Cricetulus griseus: one gene and its partners. The protein of the gene in region 4 interacts with the protein of the main gene of each other region in a biochemical or structural test. Links are inferred from orthologs where the notes say so. Each region holds a gene or a part of one and is shown on either strand. Other genes may lie near its edges. The genes, in order: Mapk12, Csn2, Xiap and Htra2.

Evidence for each region.
Region 1: of the proteins of Htra2 (region 4) and Mapk12, one has a biochemical effect on the other in vitro, tested with the Homo sapiens proteins (2 studies listed by BioGRID and IntAct, with this or other methods). The link is inferred for Cricetulus griseus from reciprocal best matches to the Homo sapiens genes HTRA2 and MAPK12.
Region 2: of the proteins of Htra2 (region 4) and Csn2, one has a biochemical effect on the other in vitro, tested with the Homo sapiens proteins (2 studies listed by BioGRID). The link is inferred for Cricetulus griseus from reciprocal best matches to the Homo sapiens genes HTRA2 and CSN2.
Region 3: the proteins of Htra2 (region 4) and Xiap form a complex in vitro, tested with the Homo sapiens proteins (10 studies listed by BioGRID and IntAct, with this or other methods). The link is inferred for Cricetulus griseus from reciprocal best matches to the Homo sapiens genes HTRA2 and XIAP.

Annotation. Positions count from the first base shown.
Region 1 is NC_048595.1:385,892,133-385,896,327, forward strand, and holds the start of Mapk12 (mitogen-activated protein kinase 12), read right to left. Parts: upstream 2,855-4,195; coding exon 2,730-2,854; intron 2,640-2,729; coding exon 2,510-2,639; intron 1-2,509. UniProt on the Homo sapiens protein: Serine/threonine kinase which acts as an essential component of the MAP kinase signal transduction pathway.
Region 2 is NW_023276807.1:152,937,158-152,941,159, reverse strand, and holds the start of Csn2 (beta-casein), read left to right. Parts: upstream 1-1,150; coding exon 1,151-1,222; intron 1,223-1,914; coding exon 1,915-1,938; intron 1,939-3,093; coding exon 3,094-3,117; intron 3,118-3,201; coding exon 3,202-3,243; intron 3,244-4,002. UniProt on the Homo sapiens protein: Important role in determination of the surface properties of the casein micelles.
Region 3 is NC_048604.1:25,903,393-25,906,955, reverse strand, and holds part of Xiap (baculoviral IAP repeat-containing protein 4), read left to right. Parts: intron 1-845; coding exon 846-1,046; intron 1,047-3,563.
Region 4 is NC_048601.1:74,225,796-74,229,940, reverse strand, and holds the start of Htra2 (serine protease HTRA2, mitochondrial), read left to right. Parts: upstream 1-1,316; 5' UTR 1,317-1,355; coding exon 1,356-1,831; intron 1,832-1,936; coding exon 1,937-2,141; intron 2,142-2,230; coding exon 2,231-2,425; intron 2,426-2,681; coding exon 2,682-2,714; intron 2,715-2,911; coding exon 2,912-3,017; intron 3,018-3,150; coding exon 3,151-3,220; intron 3,221-3,961; coding exon 3,962-4,057; intron 4,058-4,145. Other genes in the region: Aup1 (ancient ubiquitous protein 1), read right to left, coding at 124-308, 520-670, 750-887, 966-1,102.

The DNA of each region.
Region 1 (4,195 bases), on a different chromosome or scaffold from region 4:
TGCCCACTGTCAGCTCAGCCCCCACCCTGGTACATTTGCCCACAGACACAATCTATTTTTAGATGCTGACAGCCGGGATACTCTGGGGGGAGGTGCAGTCTCAAGTCTAGGTTGACTCCAGGCTTCTGAGCAATCCAACCCCTTAGTCCCCCCCCCCTTTTACTCCTCCTCAATGAAGCAGACCCAAGACCAAAGTGGGGACAGTCCCTTGGGAGGAACAAATACCTAGTAGGTTCTTCCCGGGGCCATCCCCTGGCTATCTAGGCCAAGGAGAAGCACCAATTTAAACACAGCTTCTGGTTGTGGGAGTTGGACAACAGATGGACAATGTGACATCAGTTTCCCAGTACTTGGGAGGGGGACCGGAACTCTGGGGTCAAGAGAGGCCTCCCTGATGAGTGCTGCATACCCAACTATCAGGAGGGACGAGTGAAAGAACAAAGAGAGGCAGGGTGCCTGATGGCCAAAGTAGGACAGAAAACACCTTCAGAGTAAGGAACAGAGAAGAAGTCCAAATAGCTAAAGCCCAGGCCAATACAGAACCAAGGAGAAGGCAGAAGGAGCCAAAAGAAGGCCTCAAACTCACATCCCAGAGGAAGATTTGGCTTTGCTCCACAGAGCTGCTATGGAAGGAAACAAAGATAAAATGCTGAGGCTGAGCAGTGGTGACACACACCTGTAATCCCAGCACTCAGGAGGCAGAGGCAGGTGGATCTCTGTGCATTTGAGGCCAGCCTGATCTACAGAGTGAGTTCCAAGACAACCAGAGTTGTTACACAGAGGAAACCCTGTCTCAAAAAACCAAAGAGTGAAAAAAAAAAAAAAAAGATAGGTATATACTCTGGATTTCAGTGAAAGGACAAATAGAATGAGGCAAGAATAGACAGGAGGTAGAGGGCAGCTGAGTGATCACTTTAGGCATGGCCAAAGTTGGGAGTAAGAACATGGACAGGAAAGGCTTGGGGGCAGATAAACCACAGATGTGACCTGAGAGCTTAGTAGAATATATAAGGAATAGGGTCCTAGAGGTCAAGGTAAGTCCACCAAAGGCATAAGACTTCTGCACTTTTGTGGTTTAGATGTGACCCAGAGCCAAGGACCAGAGCTTGAGGAGAAAGGGAAGAAGACTAGAGCTGGATCTGTGGCAGCCCCATTTCTGGTAAGTAGAGCATACAGCCTGTCCAAACCTCAGTTTCCACACGAGAAGGGAGATACAATGGCAGCTTCCCAGAAGGTGCTGAGGAATCCTGAAAGCTAGCACACCCAGGCAAGGGTTATGGGTTGACCCACAGACTCACTCAGGAGTGGGGAGTGAATGAAGAAGCCCACAACCCTTGGCTGGAGAAAGGTTCGGGATAAGTAGGTGGCTAGGTGGGATTGGGCTTGAGGATAGGGGTGGCTACACCCATGAGAACAAAGCCTTTTACTGTTTTGTCTGTTTTGGTTTTTCAAGACAGGGTTTCTCTGTGTAGCCTTAGCTATCCTGGAACTCACTCTGTAGACCAGGCTGGCCTTGAAATCACAGAGATCCACCTGCCTCTGCCTCCCAAGTTGTTTGATTGTTTTGTTTTTTATAACTGTTTACAGATTTATGGGGAAGTGGGGAGGCAGACAAAGCAGGGCTGACGTCCATCTTAATCAGGCTTCATGAAGAAAAGAAATAAAGGTCCAACACATCAACCAAGAGTGGCAATGACGAAGCAAGTTTGCTGTTAGACACAGGGAGATCATTGTTCCATGGGGTTACTGACTCTGATGACCCAGGAGATTAAAACATACTTCAGGACTAGTGCAACTCCCCAGATGTCAAGTGAGGGGGAATGGAACTCACAGCCTCAGGAAGAACCATATGAAGACAAAGCCCCCAGCTGAGAGGATTCTGATGGCTAGCAAGGCTGATATGAGAGGCACAAGGGCAGCCATGTGCAGTATCCTACTATGGGCAGGTGAAATCGGAAATGCGATGCTGACAGAAGAAATACACACCCACAGTGGTGACTGTAACTCTCTGTTCCTTAAACCCTGCTCTTCTCCTTAAACCCCGTATCCATAGAGACTGGAGGCTTTGGGGTGATAGAGCCAGGGTGCATAATTCTAGTGACCTGCCTGGCTGGAAGTGGGCAAGAGAAGGCCTAGGGTGGGGAAGAGACGCCCCTTCCAGGAAAATCCTCTTCCCACCAACCTGAATGGAGACAGGGTTTGGAGTAAGACTTGAGGAGCCCTTAGGACTAGAACATACCCTGACCACTGCCTGGGCCGAGAAAGTAGAGGTGGACGGAAGATGAAACCAAGCCACTGAAGCCGGGCATGAACTTGCAGTGTCGCTCAGAAAGGGGTCTGGAATCTGTCTCCACTTCCCTCCTGGAAGCTGCTAATAGCTTTTTCAAGCTGGAGGCTAACTAGGTACCAGGCTTCAGGAAGCAGAGGTAGTGGACAGGATTGCAGGGGAGGGCAGGATGAGAAGTGGCCAGTGCACAATGTCCGCATCTGGGGCGGGCGTTGGACTCACGTTCTCGTGGCGCATATGTTTGAGGAGGCGCAGCTCTCTGTAGGCGCGCTTGGCAAACAGCTCCGACTGGAAGGGCCGGTACAACTTCTTGATGGCCACCTTGTTACCAGTGCGACTGTCTATTGCAGAGCTGCGGGGCGGACAGCTTGGCTAGAGAACCCGCCCCGTAATCGCCAGCCGCCGCCTGCCCTGCCTGCTGCCCCGCCCGGCGAACGCTCACCACACTGCACCATAGGCACCAGAGCCAACGGGCTGCAGGTCCTGGTACACGGCGCGCACCTCCCAGGCCGTTTTGGTCACCTCCTGGCGATAAAAGCCCTTGCGGGCGGGTGGCGGGGAGCTCATCCCCGACTGGAGCACCGCGCCCCAGGACCCGACCCAAGATCAGGGGCTCAGCCCGTGCGCCCCGGGTCACTGCGTGGAGGGCGGGCTCCTCACTGCCCGCCCGCCCGCCTTCGGGGCTTTCCCTTGCGGGCTCTTCTCTTGGGGTCGTCACCCTGAACTCTCTGTAACCGCCAACACCCACCCGGCCCTTGTCTCTGGCCAGCGAAGTGGTTCCTCCCGGCCCACTGACCAACCGGGCCCCCGAGCCCTGAGCACGTGACACCCCCGTCTGCCCTCCGGCCCCTGCGGAAACCCGAGGAGGCCTCTGGGGTTGGGCGGAAGGCTTGGGAAGGGAGGGCGGGGGAGAGGGGGAACTGCCCCATAGCTCTCTCGCGACCTGGGGCGGGAGGTGGCGCTGAAACACCCTGGATGGCCTCTATCCCTCTATCCTCACTAGACATCTCGGCCCTGGGCTCTTAGCAGGTGCTTCTCTGGATTCCAACCTTTCCTGTCCTTCCAGAACGCCGGGCCCATTCTAGGCAACTTGAGCTCACCAACTTTTACTCCATCCCCAGGTCAGGTCCACCTGCCATTTACCAATCACACCCCATCCCAATTGTTTTTCTGTTCCTGGTCAACTCTTCTTTCCCAAGGATGCCCCGCCCCTGGAGCTGATCCATTCATCTCTTCTATGAAGGAAGTATTTGGTTCTGTGTCCCAGACATCTCAGGTTGCGTACCCAACCCCATTGTGGCCACTAGCTCTCAGTTTCCTAATCTAGGAACCAGAGGTATTGGTCATACAGACCTTTCTAGGGCCTCTACACCTCTGTTCCCAGCCTTGGCCCCTACCTGGTATATGGAGTGCCTGCTTCAAGCAAAGACTAGGAGTGGCCCCTCTATCTATTCCACCTGTTATCCAGCTTAGCCTTCAAAGCCCGGAATGAGCTAAAGGCATGCCTGCTCCCAGGAAAAAGAGGGGCTTCTATGTGAACTTTCAGCCTGATGCTTCCATGTGAGCTTTCTCTCTGGGGTCTGTCCTAGACCTGAACCAGATGCTCCCAGAGGGTAAAGCCACCATCCTTCCCACAGCCTAGCGATCAAAGGCCATTCCAGGATCCCACTGGGTTGATGAGTAGTAACAAGATCCCCCAGAAGGCTCTTCCCCTCCCTCCGTGCCTGCCTGCCTGCCTGCTGCCATGAATCAGCAGCTCAAGGCCAGCCAGGGCAGCTTTGCGCCTGGGCTGCTGCTAGTGGCACATTCACAAGCAACCACGAGTGAGCAGGGGAAGCCAGGCCACTCAAGCCACATCTGCCTGTATCCTGTGTCCTTAATGCCCTTCATGCCTCTGGCCACCCACCA
Region 2 (4,002 bases), on a different chromosome or scaffold from region 4:
TTAGATATTTAAGAAGTAATGAGATTATTTTAAAAGCAAGGCTTAAAATATAGAAATGTCTAGAAAGATTTGGTAAAAATTACAATGGCTATTGGCTTTATGAAAACAAGAACATGTAACAATAAATACAAGGCCAGTGAATGGTATAAAGAAGAGACTAAGGATTGACTTCTTTAATAAGCTATCTTATTTGATTTGCTGTTCTTTAGTAATAAAATGTACTCAAATTATATCATGGAAAGATTGATATTTCTTGGGCAACAATTAGAAGCAACAAATTACATGTTTTGTACACAAGAAGATTACAACCGTAAAACTTGTCCAGAGTCTTGGAATTCTTGATCTAGCTCATAATGTTTTACATGTGAGATATTAACAATTGTAAAAATAGAGACAAAGTCTTCTGTTTGTAAAATAATTGTAGGAAGATTAGATATTACTTTGAAACCATGATTATGGAAATAAGATGAGTTGAAAGAAAAGTGGCTTATAGTGTGCCAGGTAAAAACAAAGTTCCAGTTTAAAGATGGATACATAAAATGGTAAGGATAAAATATAAGAATTGCAGTGGGATTCTCCCTACATGCATAATCTACAAGGGTACAAATTTCTTTTAAACTAAGACAATTAAATTATATGGAAACCCATGGAGGAGTCTTTAGACAAGGAAAGGTTCTTAATGAATTATGCAGCATCCATCCAAAAAACCCAAACCAGCTTTTTACTAATGGAATAATTTTCCACCGTCAAGTATTGGAAAGAATGCTTTGTAAACATATCTAAATTTTTATTTTTCATGCTGAGATCACTCACCAGCAACACAACAGTTTATGCACAGTCTATTATTTCACTCTAGAAGTGAGGCTCCCTAGTGCTGATGTCTTCATAATCTGGAAATGCTGAATAGTTTTTTCATTAAAAGGGTTCCATAGTCATGACTTCTTCATAGTTTTGTAAGGCGCCCATACTCCCATTAACAATAGAGTGCTAACAAAGAAGAAAGGAAGAGAGCTGTGAGCAGAAAATACTGCTGGTAGCTGCTGAAGTCTGAATTTGATGTTAGACATAGGATATTTAGGAGCCAGAGTAGATTTTAATTGACTCATCCCTTACAACTCGTTCATCTTTTCATTCACAGGACCTGACAGCCATGAAGGTCTTCATACTTTCCTGCCTTGTGGCACTTGCTCTTGCTAGTGAGGTGGGTAAAGAAGCTTCCTATGTAATTAAGATGTAGTGAACGGTCCTCTCACTTGTAGACAGTAACAGTAGTGATGGCTCAGTGTGTAATTAATGGAGAGCTTCAGATCTGTTTATTTAATCAATGCTTCTTTGAGAGTCACAAAGTTTTGTTGTCCCAAAGTTCCTATAGGCTCTCAAAACTGGAACAAATGCTTATTGTGTTATTGGACCACCAGTTCCAAATGAAAAGTAAAACAGACAAGAAGTAAAACAAGAAAATAGAAATACATCAAGTAAATATAACTCCACAGAAGTAGACTCACACACGTGGCTTCAGTATCTCATTCTGGTGATAAAGTGCATGCATTTCTTTGATAATCAGGTCAAGTCTTACTGTGTCTGCCCAAAGGGAAATTCAGAGGAAGGAACATATTCAAGAATTGTGGTAGACTTGTAGGCATAATAAAAAAATGCCTAGTAGAAATTAAAGTAACTTCTTTTTTCCTCACTCATCAAAAATTCCCCAAGTTCATCCAATGTAGGAATGTGCCAATAAAAATTATTAAATTATTAGAGAGAGTAAATGTGTTTTCAAGATTCTAAAAGGCTTATAACTTTTTTGGTTTTTAAGTTTCTGAAAGAGGTAGATGACATAAAAATGAAATAGGAAGGATATTTAGTAGCAAGGTAGATTTTGTCACTAATAAGTACTTTTATTTCTTTTTACAAAAGGAATCACTCAGCATATCCTCTGAGGTAAGAGGTTTTATTGAGAAAAAATTTTAATCCTAAAATAACTATATTTTTAATGATCTGGAAGTCCTAATTGGATCTATAAATTAACACATTTGTATTACTAATGTTTTTGCATACTGAGAGCATTTCCAGCAGTGAGGGAAAGCAATTCTGTCTCAGAGGCAACTTGTAGACTTAGAACACCAAAGTGCTTCTTTTCTGTTGAGTTACATTGTGTTAGCCACACTATAACATATTCCTGTTTGGTAAATATGCTGTGCATTGTATTGGGAAGAAAAATATCTAGATAGCTGCATAATTAGAATTTTCCAAGTTAGTTTCTTATTTGAAATTTTTAACTGCCTCTTCTACACCTTTTTATTTGAGAAGCTCACAATCGTATTCTCTGCCAAGAGCTCTCCCTAATTTGACATGCATTTTTATTATTACTATGTGCTTTTTATGGATTGCTCATTGGCTAGTAGCTACAGTCCAAACTAAAGACAGATACCAATAGAAATACATACATGTGCTATACTGGGTAGGCCTGTTTGCAAAAGGATGCATTTGGTTATTAAAGTTGTCATTAGGTAAATAAAAAAGTAAGATGCAATATAGTCCTAAATGTACCTGAGTGTATCAAATAGATACACTCAGTCTTTACCTTGAACTATTTATTTGTATGTGTTATCATTTGTTTATTAGTGAATACAATTATATACATTTCTTTTCAGAATTCTACAAATGCTCAGAGGAAGTGTTTGTTTCTCATAGTTTATTTGGAGGCTAGTATATTAGCAAGTACTATAATAAGTACTCTTAGCTGTCATTAGACTGTATTTTCAACTCTGTTTCTGTGTTTGGTTTTAAGAATTAAATGGGATTTAAAGATCATTTGTAGCCAGAGAAAGAACTATGGTTGTAAAGGGAATTAACATTGCTTAGATGTCTCTTTATATACTGTGCTCACTCATTCACTTTTCTCTCTTGATGACACTCATCTTTCTTGTATACAATAGGCTTATACAAAATGTTTTAGATAGTTTAAATATAAGATTTCATCAATTTTCCTATTAGTAACCTATTAAAATAGCTTACCAGATACCTTAATTTTAATACCCATTGAAAATACTATTTACTCAGTAAAAATTAATTATTTTTTTTATTTTTCTGAAGGAATCTTCTGAAAGCATCAGTAAGGTAAACCCATTATATTTAATATCCATGATTTATTCATGAAGATAAAAGTTTTGAGATTTTTAATGTACACTTTGTTTCTAACAGAAACTTCAGATGGTTGGACAAATGGAACAGCTGCAAGCAAGGGTAAATTGCTCTTGAAGAGTTTATGTCTTGGTTTTGTGATGTGTAATGAATGCCAGAAAATAATTATAGCATGTATGTTCATAGCAAACAGTGGTCATATACCACCAGTGCTATGAAAGCATACTCAAGTGTCAATGTATTTTCTAAATCATGATTGCAGTTACTAGTGGTATTATCTGTTCTTAATAATTAACATAAGCATTTCCCCAGTAGAAACAATGTCCTTTTTATTTTCTAAATGAATATGATGATGAAAGGACACATTGAGAATGTGGCAGAAATCCTATACTGAACACCTGCCAGAAGAATAATATTGCTTATTAGTCTCTTTATAGTTCATTTTCTTCACCTGTAAGCTGAACACAATCTTAATTTTTTTCCATGAATGCAATTAATTGGCCTTTAGTAGAGTTAATGGTTTTAATTCACATTTGGTTTATGAAAACATTTGTACTTTATGTTTACCTAGTCTTAAGGGCATTTCTAGTTCAAAGATAAGTGGAGTGAGATATGGAACAACTGATTGGACCACTGCTTAAGCTGTATAGTAGAAGAGGTTGCCTTCAAATCAATGCTTTTCTGAATAGTGTCAAGTTCCACTATTAAATCACACTTACATAATAGTTGAACTTTGATAGTTTGTTTTCCTCAGTAAATTGCTTGTTGCTCACATTTTTCAAGTCAAATTAAAATTTTAAAAATTGATACATCTTGAAAAGTTTAAGAAAACTATTTTTTCAAAGAGAAACCTTTCTATAA
Region 3 (3,563 bases), on a different chromosome or scaffold from region 4:
TATGTTTATCTAGTATATAAAAGTTCAGTTCCAGCCCACAAAAACAAAGGTTCTATAATATTTCTAGAGAATGTTTGGTGTTTAAACATCCTTAAAATGCACACTTTTCTTTATATGACTAATGAGATTCTTGCTCTGGGATTGGATTAATATTTGTAAGTTAAAATATAACTCAAACAGCAAAATCTAACTTGATAAATTATAAAATGTAGCATCTTTTTAGTGTATTCACCAGGTTGTACAACCATCACTATTTAATGTCATCACGTCAGAAAGAAACCTTATACACATCCATCAGCAGTCATTCTCCATTTTCCTACTGCTGGCCCTGACAAATACTGGTTTTGGACATTTAATATATGTGGAGTCATCTATGTAGCCTCAGGAGTCTATATTGTTTCATGTATGAGTGCATCAATCTTTATTGTTTTGCAACGGGGTCTAGTGCATCCTAGGCTGGCCTTGAATTTGGTAGATAGCTGCATATGACCTCGAACTCCTAGTCCTTCTAGTTTGTCATAGACCTGCACTACCATACTAGGTTAATGTTTTGCTGGGGTTTAAACACCAGGGCTGCAAGTATACTAGGCAAGTACTCTTCCAACAGCCCTTTCCTCATCCCCTGGTTACTTTTCTTACCTGTTTTACCTATCTTGCATTTTTCTTTACAAGTTTGGGAATCAGAGCCACAACAACACAACACACAAAATAGGCAAACACTCTACCACTAAACTACTCCTCAGCCATATCATAGTCTTACAGCCCTAAACTGTTTTACTGTTTAGTCATGTTAATGAAAATACTTGTGTCTGCTATGTTCTTTCTCCACCCAACTTTGATTTCAGATGATACCATCTTCCAGAATCCTATGGTACAAGAAGCTATACGAATGGGATTCAGTTTCAGGGACATTAAGAAAACAATGGAAGAAAAGATCCAAACATCTGGGAGCAGCTATCTGTCCCTTGAGGTTCTGATTGCAGATCTAGTGAGTGCTCAGAAAGATAATACACAGGATGAGTCAAGTCAGACTTCATTGCAGAAAGGTATGCATTGTTTTTTTAAACAAAGATAACTTTGCAGCCCATTCATTTCCTTTTTCTAATACCCCTTGGCATAAATATTTTTACTCTTATTACGATAAATTTCAAACATACACAGAAGTAGAAAGAACAGTGAATCAGCTTCAATAATAAGCAACTCTTTCCCATCTTGATTCTGATCTTCTATCTTTCTGGCCTTAGCACTTCAAAGGAAATATAAGGCATCCTGTGTATCAGCATCTACGAATACTTTGATATACTCAACATAGAAGGCTATTTTTTCATTATGCCCTCAGTGCTGTGTTTCTTGGGCTATTATAACAAAATTCCATAAAACATGTACCTTAAACAAAATGCATTTGTTTCTCAAAGACTGAGAAGGCCAAAATCTAGGTCTTCCTGCAGATAGTTGCCTTCCCAAAGTAGTGTGTATAACCTCTCAGGTCTTTCTTCTTTACTTACAAGAATGCTAATTCTCCCAGGAGTTCTCATGCTCATGACTTTATATAAACCTAATTGTATTCGAGCATTGCTTAACAATGAAGATACATTGTGAGAAATGCATTGTTAAACAATCTCATAGTTGAATGAATGTCATCAAATATACTTATACAAACATAGATGGCATATGTCAACCACTTGATCTGGGTTCTTGATGCAATCCTGCTACTTTGTGAACATGATATGTTCCATGAGGCTTCTGCTGACATGATATGGCATATTGTTTCATGGTAGTTTTATTTATATGAAGGAGTATATTCTCATAAAAAGTATGTAAGGAAGTATATAAACCATTAACTGTATGCTGTGCTTTCGTCTGACTAGCAACTCAGGAGGTTGGTTAATGCCAGCATCATCACAAACATGAGTCATTATGCCATAGCATTAGTCTGGCTGAAACATTACTACATGATAGGATTTTTTCAGTTCACTTGTGATCTTCTGGAACAAATACATGTTTTCTGGTTTACCCAAGCATTGTTCAATAGCTCATTACTATACTTCCTAAAGCCCTTCCTCTGAACATCACTATGTGGAACATTAAAGCTGCAACATATGAATGTTAGGAACACAAACATTCAGTCCATATCACACTGTTATCACACTTGACAAATGTAATTCACTAAATCATCAGAAACCTAGTTGGTTTTAATACCCCTCCTTTTTTTAGTGCTGTATGTTTGGCTCAGGACCTGATTACATGTTAAGCAAGTACTCTACCAATGAGCCACACCCCTCATTTCTCCAGTTTTGTTTTGTTTTGTTTTAGTTTTTTTTGTTTTTCGAGACAGGGTTTCTCTGTGGCTTTGGAGGCTGTTCTGGAACTAGCTCTTGTAGACCAGGCTGGTCTCGAACTCACAGAGATCTGCCTGCCTCTGCCTCCCGAGTGCTGGGATTAAAGGCGTGTGCCACCACTGCCCGGCCTTCTCCAGTTTCTTAAAACATTTCTATACTTGATCCGTTTTTAAATGCCTCAATTACATGTGGGTGGGTGGGTGGGTGGGTGGGTGGATGGATGGATGGATGATGGATGGATGGATAGATAGGTTGGTTTCTGGGTGTTGTCATACATGTACATATGTACTTACAGTTACCCCCATTCCTTCCACTAATGCCCTTCTAATTCCTTCCCCCCACCCATTGTGACCCAATGATTGATTGATATATATATAATTTATTTGTATGTGTGTATGCTCGTATATGTAAAGGCCAGAAGTTAACCTCAGGCGTTATTCCTTGGGTGCCACCTTGTTTTTTAATGGATAATCTTTCAGTATCTGTAAGTTTAAATAAAATGTCTTCGATAACCATTAACTGTGTATGAATTCTTAGGGAAGAGTGAGGCTCTATGAGCTTCTCCCCTTTACATGACAGGTTGTTTGTTGGCCTAATCTTGGAAGATCTGGTACAGGAATCACACTTTAATTATTTTTTTTTGAGATAGTGTTTCTAACACAGCCTGGTTTTGAACTACTTAATAGATGAGGATGACCTTGAATTTCTGTTCCTCCTACCACTGCCTCCCAAGTTCTGGGATTACAGGCATGCAACATTATACCTAGTTTATGGGTTGTTTGGGATTGAACCTAGGACCTTGTGTATACTAGACAATTATCCCCAGCCTTGATTTTAAAAGTATGAGTATTTCTTTTGATTGTTTGAGATGGGATCTTGCTCTGCTGGAACTCACTTTGTAGACCATGCTGACCTCAAACTCAGAGAGCTACCTGCTTCTGTTTCCCAAGTGTTGAGGTTCTAACCCAAACACTACTGTTGTTTGGGTTAGAATATTTTAGACAAAGAACAACAGAGGCTTTTACTGTTGTGGGTAAAATCTAAGTTTTGTAACTGAAACAGTTTGGTTTTAAGTGTTCTTCAGCTGTTCATATATGAAAACAAGAGAGGGTTTTACTGTTAAGTAGGCTTTGAATTAAAATACTTCCTAATACTCTATATTTTGTAGAGAAAGCCAGTGATCCACATTTATAATCTCCATAATCAGGGGGAGAGGCTGTAGGA
Region 4 (4,145 bases):
CAAGGAATTAAGAATTTAGGGGACAGAACTAAAAGTGGACAGACAGGAAATGAACTGGAGCAGGTTCACCCAGGAGCTTGACACAGTCCACTAAACTGGAGTCAGAGATCTGTGCTTACCCACCTGAAACGCAGCAGCCCCTCTCTGCCATTGGTAGCCTCTTCCTCAGGGAAGAGCAGCAAAGGTGTGGGCGGAAGCCTTGTGGAAGCACAGAATTTCTTGAGTGACTCCACCAACTCCACCCGCCTATCCATCTCCATGAAGCCCCGAGACCAGCACACAAAGCTGGGGGGGCTATTGAGTAGAGGCTGAGAGCAGGGAGGAGAGAGAGCAAGGAGAGAACGGGGGGGGGGGGGGATGTCAAACAGGAAAGAAGAAAAAAGGTAACACGTGGGGTGGTGCTTATGGGGTGAGGGAAAAGATCGGTGTTCCCCAAGAGAACCCTAATGGGTAGAGGTGAGCACTGAGCTCGGGCCTGGGGAGCCACCCGGTGGCGCTCTCGGCCTCGCCCCCACTCACGGTGCTACAGGTGGTGAGCAGGTTGACTATGTTGTGGTCAAAAGGTGTGACATGGTTGGAAATAAGGACCCTGACGCGGTGATCCCGGAGTCCGGAGTCCTCCTGCCGGGCCACGAGCCCCAGCACTGCACACATGGTCCGCACCACGAACCTGGGGACACAGGCGGCAGTGACTGTGCGGTCTTGACCCAGGCCCAGCCCCGATGCTCCCGGGGCACCGCAGTCCGCACCTGCGGAGGACGCTGTCGGGCAGAGCACAGCTGACCAGGAAGACGTGGAGCCCTAGGAAGAGGCGCAGAACCAGGAGACACAGGCCGACCGGAGCGTAGAGCAGCAGCGCGAGCAGCAGGAAGCCGTCGCTCGGGAGCCTGCGGCGAGAGGCGACGCGATCAGGCGCCGAAGCCGAGAGAACGCGCTGACCGGCCTCTTCCCTCCGCAGCGCTTACCGGTGCGAGTCAAAGAGCCGCTCCGGCCCCGGAGCTGGAGGAGGTTCCATCGCAGCCGCCTCAGGAAAGCAGGGCCGGTGTCGCCGCCATCTTCGCAGGGCCGCGGGGACTCCTGGGAAGGCGGAGTCTTTGGGCATCCGCGGGGGATGCCAGAACCGGAGGTCCAGAGGCGCCCCGGAAGGGCAAGCGCTCCCAGCATGCCTTGCGGCCCCCGGGAGGCGTAAAGTCTGCGTGTATGTGTTCGCCCCGGACAACGCGTCCTGAAAGAACTACAATTCCCGGCATGCACCGGACAGATACCGGCGTGCCTCGCTTCTCCCAGTCGGCTTGCTGGGCTTCAGGGCACCGCCTCTGAGTAGGGCGGGCAAGGAGAGAGCCGAGGCGGAGCTGATGGCTGCGCTGAAGGCGGGGCGGGGTGCAGGCTGGAGCCTTCGGGCTTGGCGGGCTTTGGGGGGCATCTTCTGGGGGAAGGGCCCCCTTTTTACCCCTGACCTTCAGGCTCTGCTGACGTTAGGAAGTCCCGACCCTCTCCCGGCCCGGGTGCCTGTGGGGGTCCTTGCATCACGGGCATGTCTGACGTCTGGGACCCCAGATCTCTGGGCACGGCTGGCCGTGGGGACTGCAGGCTCCAGTGCCCAGGAGGCCCGCAGGAGCCCCGGCCCCCGTCGGCGCGAATGGCTGGCGGTGGCGGTGGGCGCAGGGGGAGCAATGTTGCTGCTGTTGTGGGGCTGGGGGCGGGGTCCTCCCGCGGTGCTGGCCGCTGTCCCCGCTCCGCCGCCCAGCTCTCCCCGGAGCCAGTACAATTTCATCGCAGATGTGGTGGAGAAGACAGCCCCAGCCGTGGTCTATATCGAAATCCTGGATCGGTAATGGTGAAGTTGACCGGGAGGTGTTGAAACCAACTGCCCTAAGGCAAGTGAGCAGGATGGGGTGGAAAGCAGAAGTGTAACCGGTGCTTTCCCCCATCCCAGGCACCCTTTCTCAGGCCGCGAAGTCCCCATCTCAAACGGCTCAGGATTCGTAGTGGCTTCAGATGGGCTCATCGTTACCAACGCCCACGTGGTGGCTGACCGGCGCCGAGTGCGAGTGCGGCTGCCTAGTGGAGACACATACGAGGCCGTGGTTACAGCTGTGGATCCTGTAGCGGACATTGCCACGTTGAGGATTCAGACCAAGGTGGGAATGGAGTAGGCCGGATCTGATGGCAGCTGTTTACTTGCTCCCGTCTTAAAATGACCAGTTTTGGCGTACTCGTTTCCCTTAAGGAGCCTCTTCCCACACTGCCCCTCGGCCGCTCTGCTGATGTCCGGCAAGGGGAGTTTGTTGTTGCCATGGGAAGTCCCTTTGCACTGCAGAACACGATCACATCTGGTATTGTCAGCTCTGCTCAGCGTCCAGCCAGGGACCTCGGACTCCCTCAAAACAACGTGGAATACATTCAGACCGATGCAGCTATTGATGTGCGTCCTGATATGAGAGAAGTTTGGAGCTGGGTGGGAGCTGGGGAGAATGGCTGTCTGTCTGGTGTGTGCACCAACTCCAATGTAGCTGGGCCTATATTAGACGTTGGACTGCAAAATGCAGCCACTCTAGTTCATGGGCTGGGAACAGAATCTGAAGAATTTCCCTATACCCTGGTTATGCCTACAGTGAGAGAATTCCCAGAGGCATAGAATTCCAGATCTCTTTGATGTTTTCTTTCATCTTATCCCACAGTTTGGAAATTCTGGAGGCCCCCTAGTTAACCTGGTGAGTGCCATGCTCTTCTAAGAATCCATACGCCAGGTCAGTGTGGGAAGGTTGGGTGTTTCTAACATTCAAGGACTTTTAGTTAAGTTTCTGTAGTTTCTTGTTTATCTCCTCGTATCCAATCAGACCCCTGCCCCCAAATCTTTGCTACTCTGCCATCTGTGTGGGCTAGGGGACAGAGGGCTGTGTCCCTGCAGGATGGGGAGGTGATTGGAGTGAACACCATGAAGGTGACAGCTGGAATCTCCTTTGCCATCCCTTCTGATCGCCTTAGGGAGTTTCTGCACCGCGGGGAGAAGAAAAGTGAGCCTTTCTTACTTATGATGGGACATAGGGGAGGGGCGGTTCATTGGGACTTGCTGGAGAGGGCTTTACTGGCAGGAGGTAAGGGAAAGAAGGATGTAGCTGGGTGGGCTCATTTGCCCTCTTTTTACAGATTCCTGGTTTGGAATCAGTGGGTCCCAGCGCCGCTACATTGGAGTGATGATGCTGACTCTGACTCCCAGGTATATTAGGGATCATGATATGTAGGACCACAAGTGTGTCTGTGCCTTACAGGTGGATTCTGTTATGGGTTTTGTTTTCATGTCTGTCTATCTACGGTGAGTTGTTGTCACAAGAGCTGTTCCCTCTCATCATAACTTTTTCATCCTATTGCATCTTGTACCTTTTTACTAGATTGATTGCGTCATGTTACTGCTGTGATTTAGAGACTTCATTGATCTAGCATTAAAAGAGCTATTTCTATTTCCAACTCTCTCTGATTACCTTGAAGACTTGCCTTGTTGCTTCTTCTGGATTACTTTGATTTTCCATACCTGTGTGTTGTCCCCCCCCCTCCTCCCCACCCCTGTCCCCCTGCCACCCCCAGGATAGGGTTTCTCTGTGAAGCCTTAGCTGTCTTGAAATTTGCTCTGTAGACCAGGCTGGACTTGAAATCACAGAGATCTGCCTGCCTCTGTCTCCTGAGTGTTGGGATTAAAGCCCACCACCACCCAGCTCACTTCTATGTCTTAATACCTTCTTATTTCATATGGTTAATAGGACCCATCCTTTTAGGCTCAGCTTAAGTTCTACCCCTTCCTTAAAGTAGAATGACAGACATGTAGTTTAACACTGTATCATTTGGAATTAGCTATCTTTCATGTGTTTTTCCCACTTCCTAAGCGCTAGAAGGCCAAAAAAGTGAACTGTCAGGATGAGAGAGGGCCTGGGTATACCTAACAGGGTGGTCTGTGCCCTTTCAGCATCCTTGTTGAACTACAGCTCCGAGAACCAAGCTTCCCTGATGTTCAGCATGGTGTCCTCATCCATAAAGTTATCCTGGGCTCCCCTGCACACAGGTGATGGAAAGCCTGCTCTGTGAGGTGGGGTGGAATGGGGTGCATGTATCCTTGAACGCAGCTGTGTACTCCTTCCTTGCCATGTTCA